Canis lupus familiaris: one gene and its partners. The protein of the gene in region 1 interacts with the protein of each later gene in a biochemical or structural test. Links are inferred from orthologs where the notes say so. Each region holds a gene or a part of one and is shown on either strand. Other genes may lie near its edges. The genes, in order: HDAC6, TUBB2A and ISG15.

What was found.
Region 2: of the proteins of HDAC6 (region 1) and TUBB2A, one has a biochemical effect on the other in vitro, tested with the Homo sapiens proteins (2 studies listed by BioGRID). The link is inferred for Canis lupus familiaris from reciprocal best matches to the Homo sapiens genes HDAC6 and TUBB2A.
Region 3: the proteins of HDAC6 (region 1) and ISG15 form a complex in vitro, tested with the Homo sapiens proteins (3 studies listed by BioGRID). The link is inferred for Canis lupus familiaris from reciprocal best matches to the Homo sapiens genes HDAC6 and ISG15.

Annotation. Positions count from the first base shown.
Region 1 is NC_049260.1:42,208,490-42,212,237, forward strand, and holds the start of HDAC6 (histone deacetylase 6), read left to right. Parts: upstream 1-949; 5' UTR 950-966; coding exon 967-1,143; intron 1,144-1,233; exon of another isoform or gene 1,234-1,252; intron 1,253-1,308; exon of another isoform or gene 1,309-1,448; intron 1,449-1,865; coding exon 1,866-1,988; intron 1,989-2,068; coding exon 2,069-2,197; intron 2,198-2,334; coding exon 2,335-2,423; intron 2,424-3,723; coding exon 3,724-3,748.
Region 2 is NC_049256.1:4,737,119-4,740,866, forward strand, and holds the start of TUBB2A (tubulin beta-2A chain), read right to left. Parts: upstream 2,408-3,748; 5' UTR 2,306-2,407; coding exon 2,249-2,305; intron 247-2,248; coding exon 138-246; intron 1-137. UniProt on the Homo sapiens protein: Tubulin is the major constituent of microtubules, a cylinder consisting of laterally associated linear protofilaments composed of alpha- and beta-tubulin heterodimers.
Region 3 is NC_049226.1:56,711,801-56,714,477, reverse strand, and holds ISG15 (ubiquitin-like protein ISG15), read right to left. Parts: upstream 1,798-2,677; 5' UTR 1,662-1,797; coding exon 1,641-1,661; intron 1,205-1,640; coding exon 701-1,204; 3' UTR 644-700; downstream 1-643.

The DNA of each region.
Region 1 (3,748 bases):
GTAGGAAATGGTGAAGAATGAGAGAGGGAGATTAGGAGGACAAACCGGCCTCCTGCGGAGCTGATATTTAGACATCTAGACAAGGGGTGTGAGGGAGTTGGAGGGGCACACGGGTGCAACTCCCCCTACTTCCCAGGCACACGCTTTCCCTACAGCTTGGGGGCAGAGGTTACCCAATGGAGAGGGCTGGAGGGAGAACTGCCATCCAAGAAAAACTCTCCATGAGTCTATTCAAGCCCCGGGCACTATTATCACAATTTGCCAGATGAAGAAACCGAAGCACATAGATGTTCAGCAACTTGCTAAGGGTCACATGGCTAAGTCGTGTAACCTCAGTTTCCTTATCTCCAAAGCAGCCTTAATAATAGGAACTACCTCACAGAATTGTGGCTTACGACAGTGCCTGTCACATATTACTTGCTATCATCACGACTGCACTCAGTAAACCTCCTTCCATCCTACCAACCATATTCCCAGCAGAATAGCAGCAGCTAACATTTAGTGAGTGCTTCCTGTGGGCCACCTTAGTGAATATTAACTCGGAAAAGCCTCACAGCATTTAACATCGTCACCACTCCCATTCTGGCCACCACCAGCCATCCTCCAATATCCACCGCGCTCCGGGGCCCTGCCGCCGGCCCGCCCGCGCTACGTCATCACAGCGCGCCGCGCAGGAAGCCACCGGGAGAAAAGAAACCGCCCCTTCCTAATTCCCTCGCTTGCTTGTTTGCTCTCTTGAGTCATCGTACAGGACAACTGGCGCGGGTCCGGAGGACTCCTAAGGTGACCGGACAAGGATCGAGAGACAGCGGCCACGGGAGCCAGGACGGCAGCGGCGGTGGTTGGGGGAGGGGCGGGCTAGAGCCTGAGCGCCACCTCGAACCGCGGGGGCACGCTTCACGCAGGCGCAGCACAGCCAGCGTCGCGCGCTGACGTACCCACGGCGTTTGTGAGCTCGCGGGAAGTATGGCCCGCCTGAAGGGCGCGGCCCTGAGCACCGACACACAGTGTAGGCGGATCGGGGCGGGCAGTAGAGAGACCGGCCCAATGGAAAAGAGGGCCTCAAGCACCCGCCGTCCCGCAGGTCGCCAGGAATTTGGCGGCGGGAGCCCTGGGCGGAGTTTGAAAAAAGGGCTGCGCTCAGTGAGTGGAGCCGAAGGGATTGGTCGGCGTCGGCTGTGGGGTCGGAAGGGGGAGGGGACTGGTGGGAGGCGGCCTGAAACTGGCTGAAGGGATTTGCTGGAGCTTGAGGGTAGGGTTTGAGCAGGGGGTGGGATCTGGTGGAAGGAAAGGGGCAGTTCCCCGAGGAGCGAGGCTCGTTGAAACGTTAGGGGCGGGATCTGGCCAAGTGGAAGGTGTCGGTCCAGCCTGATAAGGGGTGGAGTTAAGTGGATCGTTAAGGGTGGAGTCGGGGCCGGAGCGGGGTCTGGGTCTGGCTGAGTGAAAGGGTGGGTGATTATTCTGGGAGATTAGCTGGAAGGGGCAGATTTGTGAAGGGGTGGGGTCTTGGCGAGGCTTGGAGGAATGAAAGAGTCTGGGAATGTGATTTGGGGGAGCGGAAAGGGCGGTGATTAGCTGGAAAGGGCCGGCGCTAGGACGGACTGAGCCTGGGGACTTATTGCTCCGCGAAAGGGCAAGACTTTTAAAGGGGAAAGAATAGTGTTAAGGGGGTGGAGCCTACTGGGATGGGCGGGACCAGGTGGAATGGACACCCCAGTGGAAGGAGAAGGCCTTGAAAGGGGTGGAGTTTAGAAGGCGGTGGGGAGTAGGATAGCAGAAGGGATGGAGACTGTATAGGGGGCGGGGTCTGGGAGGCCCTCAGGGCACTCCAGCCTGTTCGTAGTCACCGCCACCCCACCCCCCAGAGCCGCATCAGGGGTGAAGTCTCCCCGACCATGACCTCCACCGGCCAGGATTCCACCACAACCAGGCAGCGAAGGAGTAGGCATAACCCCCATTCGCCCCCCCACGACTCCAGCGTCACCTCGGTGAGGCCCCAAACCTGCCTGATGGGGGGGAGGAGCAGTAGGCCGTGCCCTGGAATCTGACCCTTCTCTCTGTTTGGCAGAAGCGAGGTGTTAAGAAGGGTGCCTTACGCCACTCCAGCCCTAGTCTAGCAGAGGTAAAGAAGAAAGGCAGAATGAAGAAGCTCAGCCAAGCAGCAGAGCAAGACCTAATCGTGGGCCTGCAAGGGCTGGTGAGAGTGGCCTGGGCTCAATGGATTTAGCTTCCTGTGACAATCAGAATCCTGTGGTTCTCCCTCCTGGACAGTGTGTGTTCCTTCTGACTCGGGCCCAAAGTGGATCGGTTTCTCCCCTTTTTTTCTCCCTGCAGGATCTGAACCTTGAGGCCAAGACACTTTGTGGCACTGGCTTGGTGTTTGATGAGCAACTAAATGAATTCCACTGCCTCTGGGATGACAGGTGAGGCTGGCTCCTCCAGACGGTACCCTAACCACAAAAATAAATGCCCTTAGAGCCCATTAGCAAGAACGAAGCCATTCTTATGCTAGCCTGGAGACTGGCAGCAGATGATTTCAAGTGGGGAGGCTTAGGCTTGAAAAGATTCTTTTCATTTGGCCAACACCTCCTGAGTATGCACTGTGTTCCAGGAGTTGGTGATACAGACATGTCAGACCAGACAGACAGGGCCCCTTCTCTAGGAGCTGTTAGTTGAGTAGGAGAGCAAATCATTAAACAGCCAACAGCAGTGTGAAGTATTTAACGAAGGATAACCCCAGACTAGGGGATTCAAGAGTGTTTGATAGAGGACCCTAGACTAGCATTCCGGGGTTCGCAGAAGGCTTCCTTGAAGAAAGGATATTTCATGCAGAAATGCAAGAATTTATACCTCCCATTTGCTCACACATGTTGTAATTCTTTTGGCTCTGTGTTGGAAATGTATTCAGTACCTGACCTCTCCTTACCACCTCCACTGCCACCACCACCATCACTTACCTAGACTTGGCCGAGGCCTTCTCCTTGGCTGCCTGCTTTCACCCTCACCCTGCTGTCTGTTCTCCACATGGCAGCCAAAGAAAACCAAAATACGTGTGAGATGATGTTGTCTCTCTCTTTTTAATTACTTTTTAACTGAAGTATAGTTGACATACTGCATTACATTAGTTAGAGTCCTGTTCTCTTTTTTAGAATCCTTCAAGGGTATACCATTGCCCTCAAGGTAAAGTCCAGATTCTTCATTCTGGCCTATAACATACCACGTGATCTGGCTCCACACCACTTCAGTGACCTCATCAGCCAGTCACTCGCGTAGCTTCATTTCACCCACACTGGTCCCCCTGCTGTTCCTCCAGCATCGCCAGGCACTCTGTCAGCTCGGGTCTTTACCCTGGCTGGCCCCCTCTTCCAGAAACTCATTTCCACCTCCTCCTCACCCAGTTAACATTCCCATCTCAAGGAGACTTGCTCCAAGAGGTCTTTGTCTGCTCCCCTTCCCCCACACCTGCTGTTGGAGGCCTTCCTAGTCTATATCATTGTTTGCTCATTTATCACACTTATGTGTGTATGTCCCCTCTCCCAACAGAAGACTCATGATGGCAAAAGATTTCATTCTCGAATACATGTCTGCCATCTCCTGAGGAGCTAGGGATGCCGTGGTAGACAAAACAAACAGAACCCCTGCCTCTGGGAAGATTGCATTTTAGAGGGGGAAGAGAGAGTCTGTGTGTGTGTGGGTGTGTAACTGTATGTCTTGTCAACCCAGCTTTCCTGAGGGCCCTGAGCGGCTC
Region 2 (3,748 bases), on another chromosome or scaffold:
CCAGTCATTTTTAGCAGCTGACACTTTAAATGCATGCAAGCAGCCTCTCTGTGCCGGGGCCACCGGCTGTCCCTAGGACACTGCGTCTGCCCCAGCGTGCAAAGCAGGGGGACTGGGCAGAAAGCATGGCTCATCACCTGCAGCTTCATTGTAGTACACGTTGATTCTCTCCAGCTGCAAGTCGCTGTCTCCATGGTAACTGCCGGTGGGGTCGATCCCGTGCTCGTCACTGATGACCTCCCAAAACTGGGGAAGGACACACAGGTCAGGGAGGGGGCTGGCACCCTGGATGCCAGTGAGGAGGGCGGCCCCTGGGTCCCCTCCCTGTCCTTGGAGCAGGGGCCCCGTGGGGGCGGGGGGGGGGGGGGGCCTAGAGCTGCACCCGTGTGCTGCGGGGGCTGCCGCAGGGGGGCTCGTCGGGGCGCAGGGCGGCGGCCCCTCCCCCAGGCTGCCAGGGGCACTGCCCCGGGAGGGGGGGCGCGGCGGAGGCCCCGGCAGGGAGAGCCCCGGATGCTGGGGAGGCGGGCGCCCCCGGCAGGGCTGAAGGTCACAGCCGCCCCTGATGGGCAGGGAGGCCTGCGGAGACCCCGCCCCGCCACTGCCTCGGGGATGCGTGCTCCTGCTCGGGGTGCAAACCCCACCCAGCCCTGCAGGCAGCAGCCGGGACCTCGGACAGCAGCGGGCGGGTCGCCCTGTCCCCGCGGGGGCCGGTGGGGAGGGGTGGGGGAGAGGAGAAGGGTAGCGGTGAGGACGGAGGGGGGGAAAGGGCAGGGGCCGGAAGAGCGGCAGCCCTACAGAGTAGGGGGGGAGGGGGGAGAAGAGGGAGGGAAGAAGGGAGGAGGATGGGGAGAGGAGAGTGGGAGCGGCAGCCCTGCGGGGGTCGGTGGCTGGAGCCGGGCGCTGGGAGGGCGCAGCTCCGTGTGAATGTGCAGCGGCGGGGGGGGGGGGGGATGAAGGAGAGGCGGGGGGAGGCGGGGGAAGAGGCGGGGGGTGCGGAGGGGAGCGCCGGGCCCTAGGAGAGCCGCGGCCTCACCCCCCCGCCCCGCCCCCCCCGCCGCGGTCCGAGCCAGGGCCCCGCACCTGCCACCAGCCCACAGGCAGCGGCCCGCGACAGTGGGGCTCGGCGTCCATGGCGCCCCTGTAGGCACCGAGCATCCTGGTCTTTGTAACCTAAAAAGAAGTCCCTCTAGCTCGCCACCCCAATGACACTGCATTTTTTCATTCAAACTATAGAGGGACATACACAATCGAATTAAGCTGCGCTCCAGGCCACTGGCAGCGCGGCGGCTCGCCCACCCCAGCGCCTGGGCAGCGGCCGGGAGTCCTAAGGGCCCGTGAGCGTGAGCCCCACTGCGGCTCCGCGGGCCCGGGCAGGTCGGGGCGCTCCCCGCCGCGCTCACAGGCGCCACCGGGGCCCACGGCCGCCCACACCTGGCCCCGGCCCGCCCCCGCCCCCGCCCGCACCCTGGGGCCCGCCGCCCCTCCCCCTCCCCTGCCGGGATCCGCACCCTGAGGTCCTGGCGCCCCTCCCCCTCCCCTGCAGGGATCCGCACCCTGAGGTCCCGCCGCTCCTCCCCCTCCCCTGCCGGGTCCGCACCCTGAGGTCCTGGCGCCCCTCCCCCTCCCCTGCCGGGTCCGCACCCTGAGGTCCTGGCGCCCCTCCCCCTCCCCTGCAGAGATCCGCACCCTGAGGTCCCGCCGCTCCTCCCCCTCCCCTGCCGGGTCCGCACCCTGAGGTCCCGGCGCCCCTCCCCCTCCGCTGCAGGGGTCCGCACCCTGAGGTCCCGCCGCCCCCTCCCCGTCCCCGCCCGGGTCTGCACCCTGAGGTCCCGCCGCCCCCTCCCCTTCCTCTGCGGGGTCCGCACCCTGAGGTCCCGCCGCCCCTCCCCCTCCCCTGCCGGGGTTCGCACCCTGAGGTCCCGCCACCCTCTCCCCCTCCTCTGCCGGGTCCGCATCCCTCGGAGCCCGCCGCCCCCTCCCCGCCCCCGCCGGGTCCGCACCCTGAGGTCCCGCCGCTCCTCCCCCTCCCCTGCCGGGTCCGCACCCTGAGGTCCTGCCGGCCCCTCCCCCTCCTCCACTCGGATCCGCACCCTGAGGTCCCGCCGCCCCCTCCCCGTCCCCGCCCGGGTCCGCACCCTGAGGTCCCGCCACCCTCTCCCCCGCCCCCGCCGGGGTCCGCATCCCTCGGAGCCCGCCGCCCGCTCCCCGCCCCCGCCGGGTCCGCACCCTGGGCCCCGGGCGCGCCCACCTTGGCGCCGATCTGGTTGCCGCACTGGCCGGCCTGGATGTGCACGATCTCACGCATGGTGCGGGCTGCAGGCGGGCGGAGGCGCGGCCCGGGGAGCAGAGCGCGGCGCAGCCGGCGGAGTCCGCAGCAGAGAGCAGTCGCCGCCCCCCGCCCCGCCCTTTATAGCGCGGGAGGCGCCCCCGCCGGGCCCGCGGTGACGTAATGGGGCGGGGCGGGGGGCGGGGCGGCGGGGACTGCGGCACCGCGAGGGGGAGCCGGGGCGCGGTGCGAGGTGCGCGGCGCGGGGCTGGCCGGGCGCGGGGCTCGGCTGCCGGCGCCCCCTCCCGTGGCTCCGGGCGCCCGAGGCGGGCTGGGGGCGCGGGTCCCAGACGGGGGAGGGGCCTCGGCGGGGTGCGGGGCTCCTGCCTGCGCGGGGCCTGGAGCAGGTGCGGATCCGCAGCCAGGGTGCGGGACGGACTAGGGGGAGGGGCTCCGGGGACCGCAGGTGCCACCGCGTCGGGAAGACGGTGGGTGTGCGAGGGGCTGCGCTGGCCCCGCGCATCCCCTGGGCTCTTGGGCCCTGGTAAGGGCCGTGCAGCTGCGGCGAGTTCTGCGCGGGGCCTGCGTGCCACGGAGGATGCCAGGGGCCTCAGCCCCGGATCCCGAGCCCTCCACGCGCTGTGTCACCTAATCCCCGCGGCCTCCTTCCAGGGCCGCGCAGCCCCGTTCAAAGGCCACCACGCGCGACTCCTGAACGCTTGAGATGTGCCCTAGGCGCTGTGCGTGTAAGTCAGTCACTGCATTTCATGGACTCAGTAAGTTAAGCGACTTACTAATTTTGCATATTGATAACACATCAAAATACTATTTTGGATATAGGTTTTAATTCATTTTTTTTTCTTTTACCTTCTTAAATGACTACTACAAGGGCAGCCCGGGTGGCTCAGCAGTTTAGTGCCACCTTCCACCCAGGGCGTGATCCTGGAGACCCTGGATGGAGACCCCGGTCGGGCTCCCTGCATGGAGCCTGCTTCTCCCTCTGCCTGGGTCTCTGCCTCTCTCTCTCTCTGTGTCTCTCATGAATAAATAAATAGAATATTTTTTTTAATGACTACTACACTAGTAGCGACTACTGGAAAATTTTGTTACCTGAGTGACTCACATTGTATTTCCAGTGAACAGCCCTGCTCTAGAGTAGACGTAATTACTGTCCCAATTTCGGCGAAGGAGCCTCAAAGAGCTGAGTAGCTACAAAGCCAGTAAGTGAAGGCACCTCGAGTCCTTCCACAAAGACAAAGCCCAGGTGAGTTTTAAAGGCTTGGTCAGGGTGAGGTAACATCCAGTCTTGATTGTTCTCAACGATGATCCTGAGCGTTGGGCCAGGTGAGCGGGGACCTGGGGACGGTTTCTGTTTCCCTGCACATACTCCTTTTCCTCTCTGGGGCCAGTTTCTCCAACCATAAAATGATGATAATTATAGGTGCCCTGCCGCCAGCTTTGTGAGTAGGAAATGAGAAGCTC
Region 3 (2,677 bases), on another chromosome or scaffold:
CCATTAAGTAAAGCCCTGAAGGAAGGTGTATCTGCTGGAGAATAGTCTCCGTTTAGCAGTTTGTGGGACAGTGATGTGTGTGTTCAAGGCCCTGCCCGTACCCCTCCCTAAACCAATGCAGACTGGACAGGGCAGGCTGATGGATCCTGGAGGGCCATGAGGCCCCAGGGCCCTGGCTGGTTTGGAGGAGCCTGCTTCACAGCCCACCGAGGCAGGCTCTGGGGCCTCACCCTCTCACCATTTCCAGGGGTGCTGGTCCCAGCAGGAACCTGACCACACCTCCCCCCACCCCACCATACTGTCTGCTGACCCAGATGTAGGGAATGGGAACCAGTTGTGCAAAGGCTGATTCTGGCTCAATCTGGAGATAGAGGTGGGCTCCAGCAGATGTGTCTCTTTTCTTTCTCTAGAAGTTAACTTCCCGAAGGTGTGGGGACATCTTCAATTTGTCCAAGGTGTGGATGGGAGTAGATCTCTATTTTGATCTCACTAGTCTTGTCCCTTAACTTGGCAACCCCAGCCTACTGACCACCCAGCGTCCCTGGGTCTCCTTATCCCACTTCCTCCTCTGTCCCTCCCTGTCCACATCAGCAGGGATGCAGAAGTGAGGGATGCTGGGGGAAGGACCAAGCAGAAGGAGCCATTTAATTTTGTCAACTTTTATTACCCATACTTGGTCAAGGACTTGGGTGGGTGGCTCTCAGCACTGCCCTCCTGGTCCTGCCCAATTCCCACCACCACCCCGCAGGCGTAAATTCATGAACACAGTGCACTGGGGTGTGAGACCATACTCCCCCAGCTGGTGCTTGTCCTCCATGGGCTTCCCTTCAAAAGTCAGCCAGAACAGGTCAGCCTGCACGTGCTCCTGCTGGCACACTTGCTGCTTGAGCTCAGCCACAGTCTGTGTCAGCCAGACCTCGTAGGCGATACTGCGACCCTTATTGTTTCTCACCAGGATGCTCAGGGGGTCATTACAGTTCTTCACCACCAGCAGGACTGTGCTGCCAGGACACAGGCCCTGCCTGATGAGGGAGATCCCATCCTGCAGCACTGTGCCAGCCGGGTGGGTAGCTAGGCGCTGTTGGAACGCAGGCACGCCAGTTTTCAGGGCTATCTGCTGCTTCAGCTCTGATGCCAGCATAGAGTCCCTCAGGGGCACCAGGAACTCCTCACCTCCCAGCATCTTCACAGTCAGGTTCCCAGCCTGTGGGCATCACACAGACTCATAAACCTCACCATCAGTCCTGGAGCCTCTACATGCAGATCATTGGCCACAGGGAAAGCTGTGCTCTCCTCCCCACCCACCAGGAAAGGAACCCCAGGCACTAGAGGGAAGCAGGGAGCATTTCCAGAAGAAAGGCCCATCCCCCAGGACCATCACCTCACCTCCTCAGCCCACTAAGATGCCTTCCTGTGCCAATGCCAAGGGATCTCAGAATTCAACACTGGCAAAACACATTTTCCCAGACCCAGACCTCAATCTCAGAAGCGGCCCTGCCCCTCCCCTCATGCTTAGGGACCTGGGGGAGCTCTGAGCACCTCCACTTGCCTGGCTCCACCCTTGGAAGACCCTAGCAGTAAGATAGGAAAAGAGCCTGGTACAGAGCCCACCTGCCCCCCGCCTGTCAAACACCCCTTACCATGGCTGTAGGCTCCAGCATCAAGTCCTCCAGGGGCACAGATGGATTGGCTGCCTCTCAGCTTGCAGCTACTCTCCTGTTCAGCCCTTTTATGAACCTGAGCTGTTCACGTCAGAGGGCAGTGTTGGGGAGAGAGCCTGACCATTGGCTGAATTTAGCTTCGGTTTCAGTTTCCTTTTCCCAGGGAATGCTCCTGTGAGTAGCAGAAACAAAACAGTAATAAAGACCTGGGATTACCCACCTGCCCAGAGACTCAGGACAATGCTCTCACCCTGTGTTCATTCAGAAACCCCCGTAAGTGTCTAGCACTTCAGGTTCTTTACAAGCTACACGGAAGTCATAACAGAAACTAATGACTGGAAACATTCACTTTCCATTTACCAATTTGCAAAATTAGTAAGTTTGGAAAACATTGCTGCAATTAATTCAGAAATAACAAACAAGTGACAATCCAAACTACCCAGAGATTATCACCATTGGTTTAGGATGGTATTTCTTCAGATTGTTTTTTGTTTGTTGGTTTAATGAAAGAAATATATCTCTTATTTTCTATAAAAATGAATTCATGAACACTATCCAGAAAGTGAAAAGGCTTTTCTCAAAATGGAAGAAAATATTTGCAAATCATAAGTCAGATAAGGATCTGGTGTCCATAACATATAAAGAACTCTTAGAACTGAACTATAAAAAATATAAACAATTCAATAAAAAATTGGGCAAATGGGGGCACCTGGGTGGCAGAGTTGGTTAAGTGGCCAACTCTGTTTTGGCTCAGGTCATGATCTCAGGGTTGTGAGATTGAGCCCCATGTCAGGCTTTGCACTCAGCCTGGAGTCTGCTCAGGTTTCTCTCTGCCTCTCCCCTGCTCTCTCTTTCTCTCAAATAAACAGATAAATAAATCTTTTTTTTTTAATTGGGCGAGTGTTTGAATAGATCTTTCTCTGTAGAAAATACATAAATACACATGAAAAGATGCTCAACATCATTAGTCCTTAGGGAAATGTCATTAGAGAAACTTAGATCAAAATCACAATGAG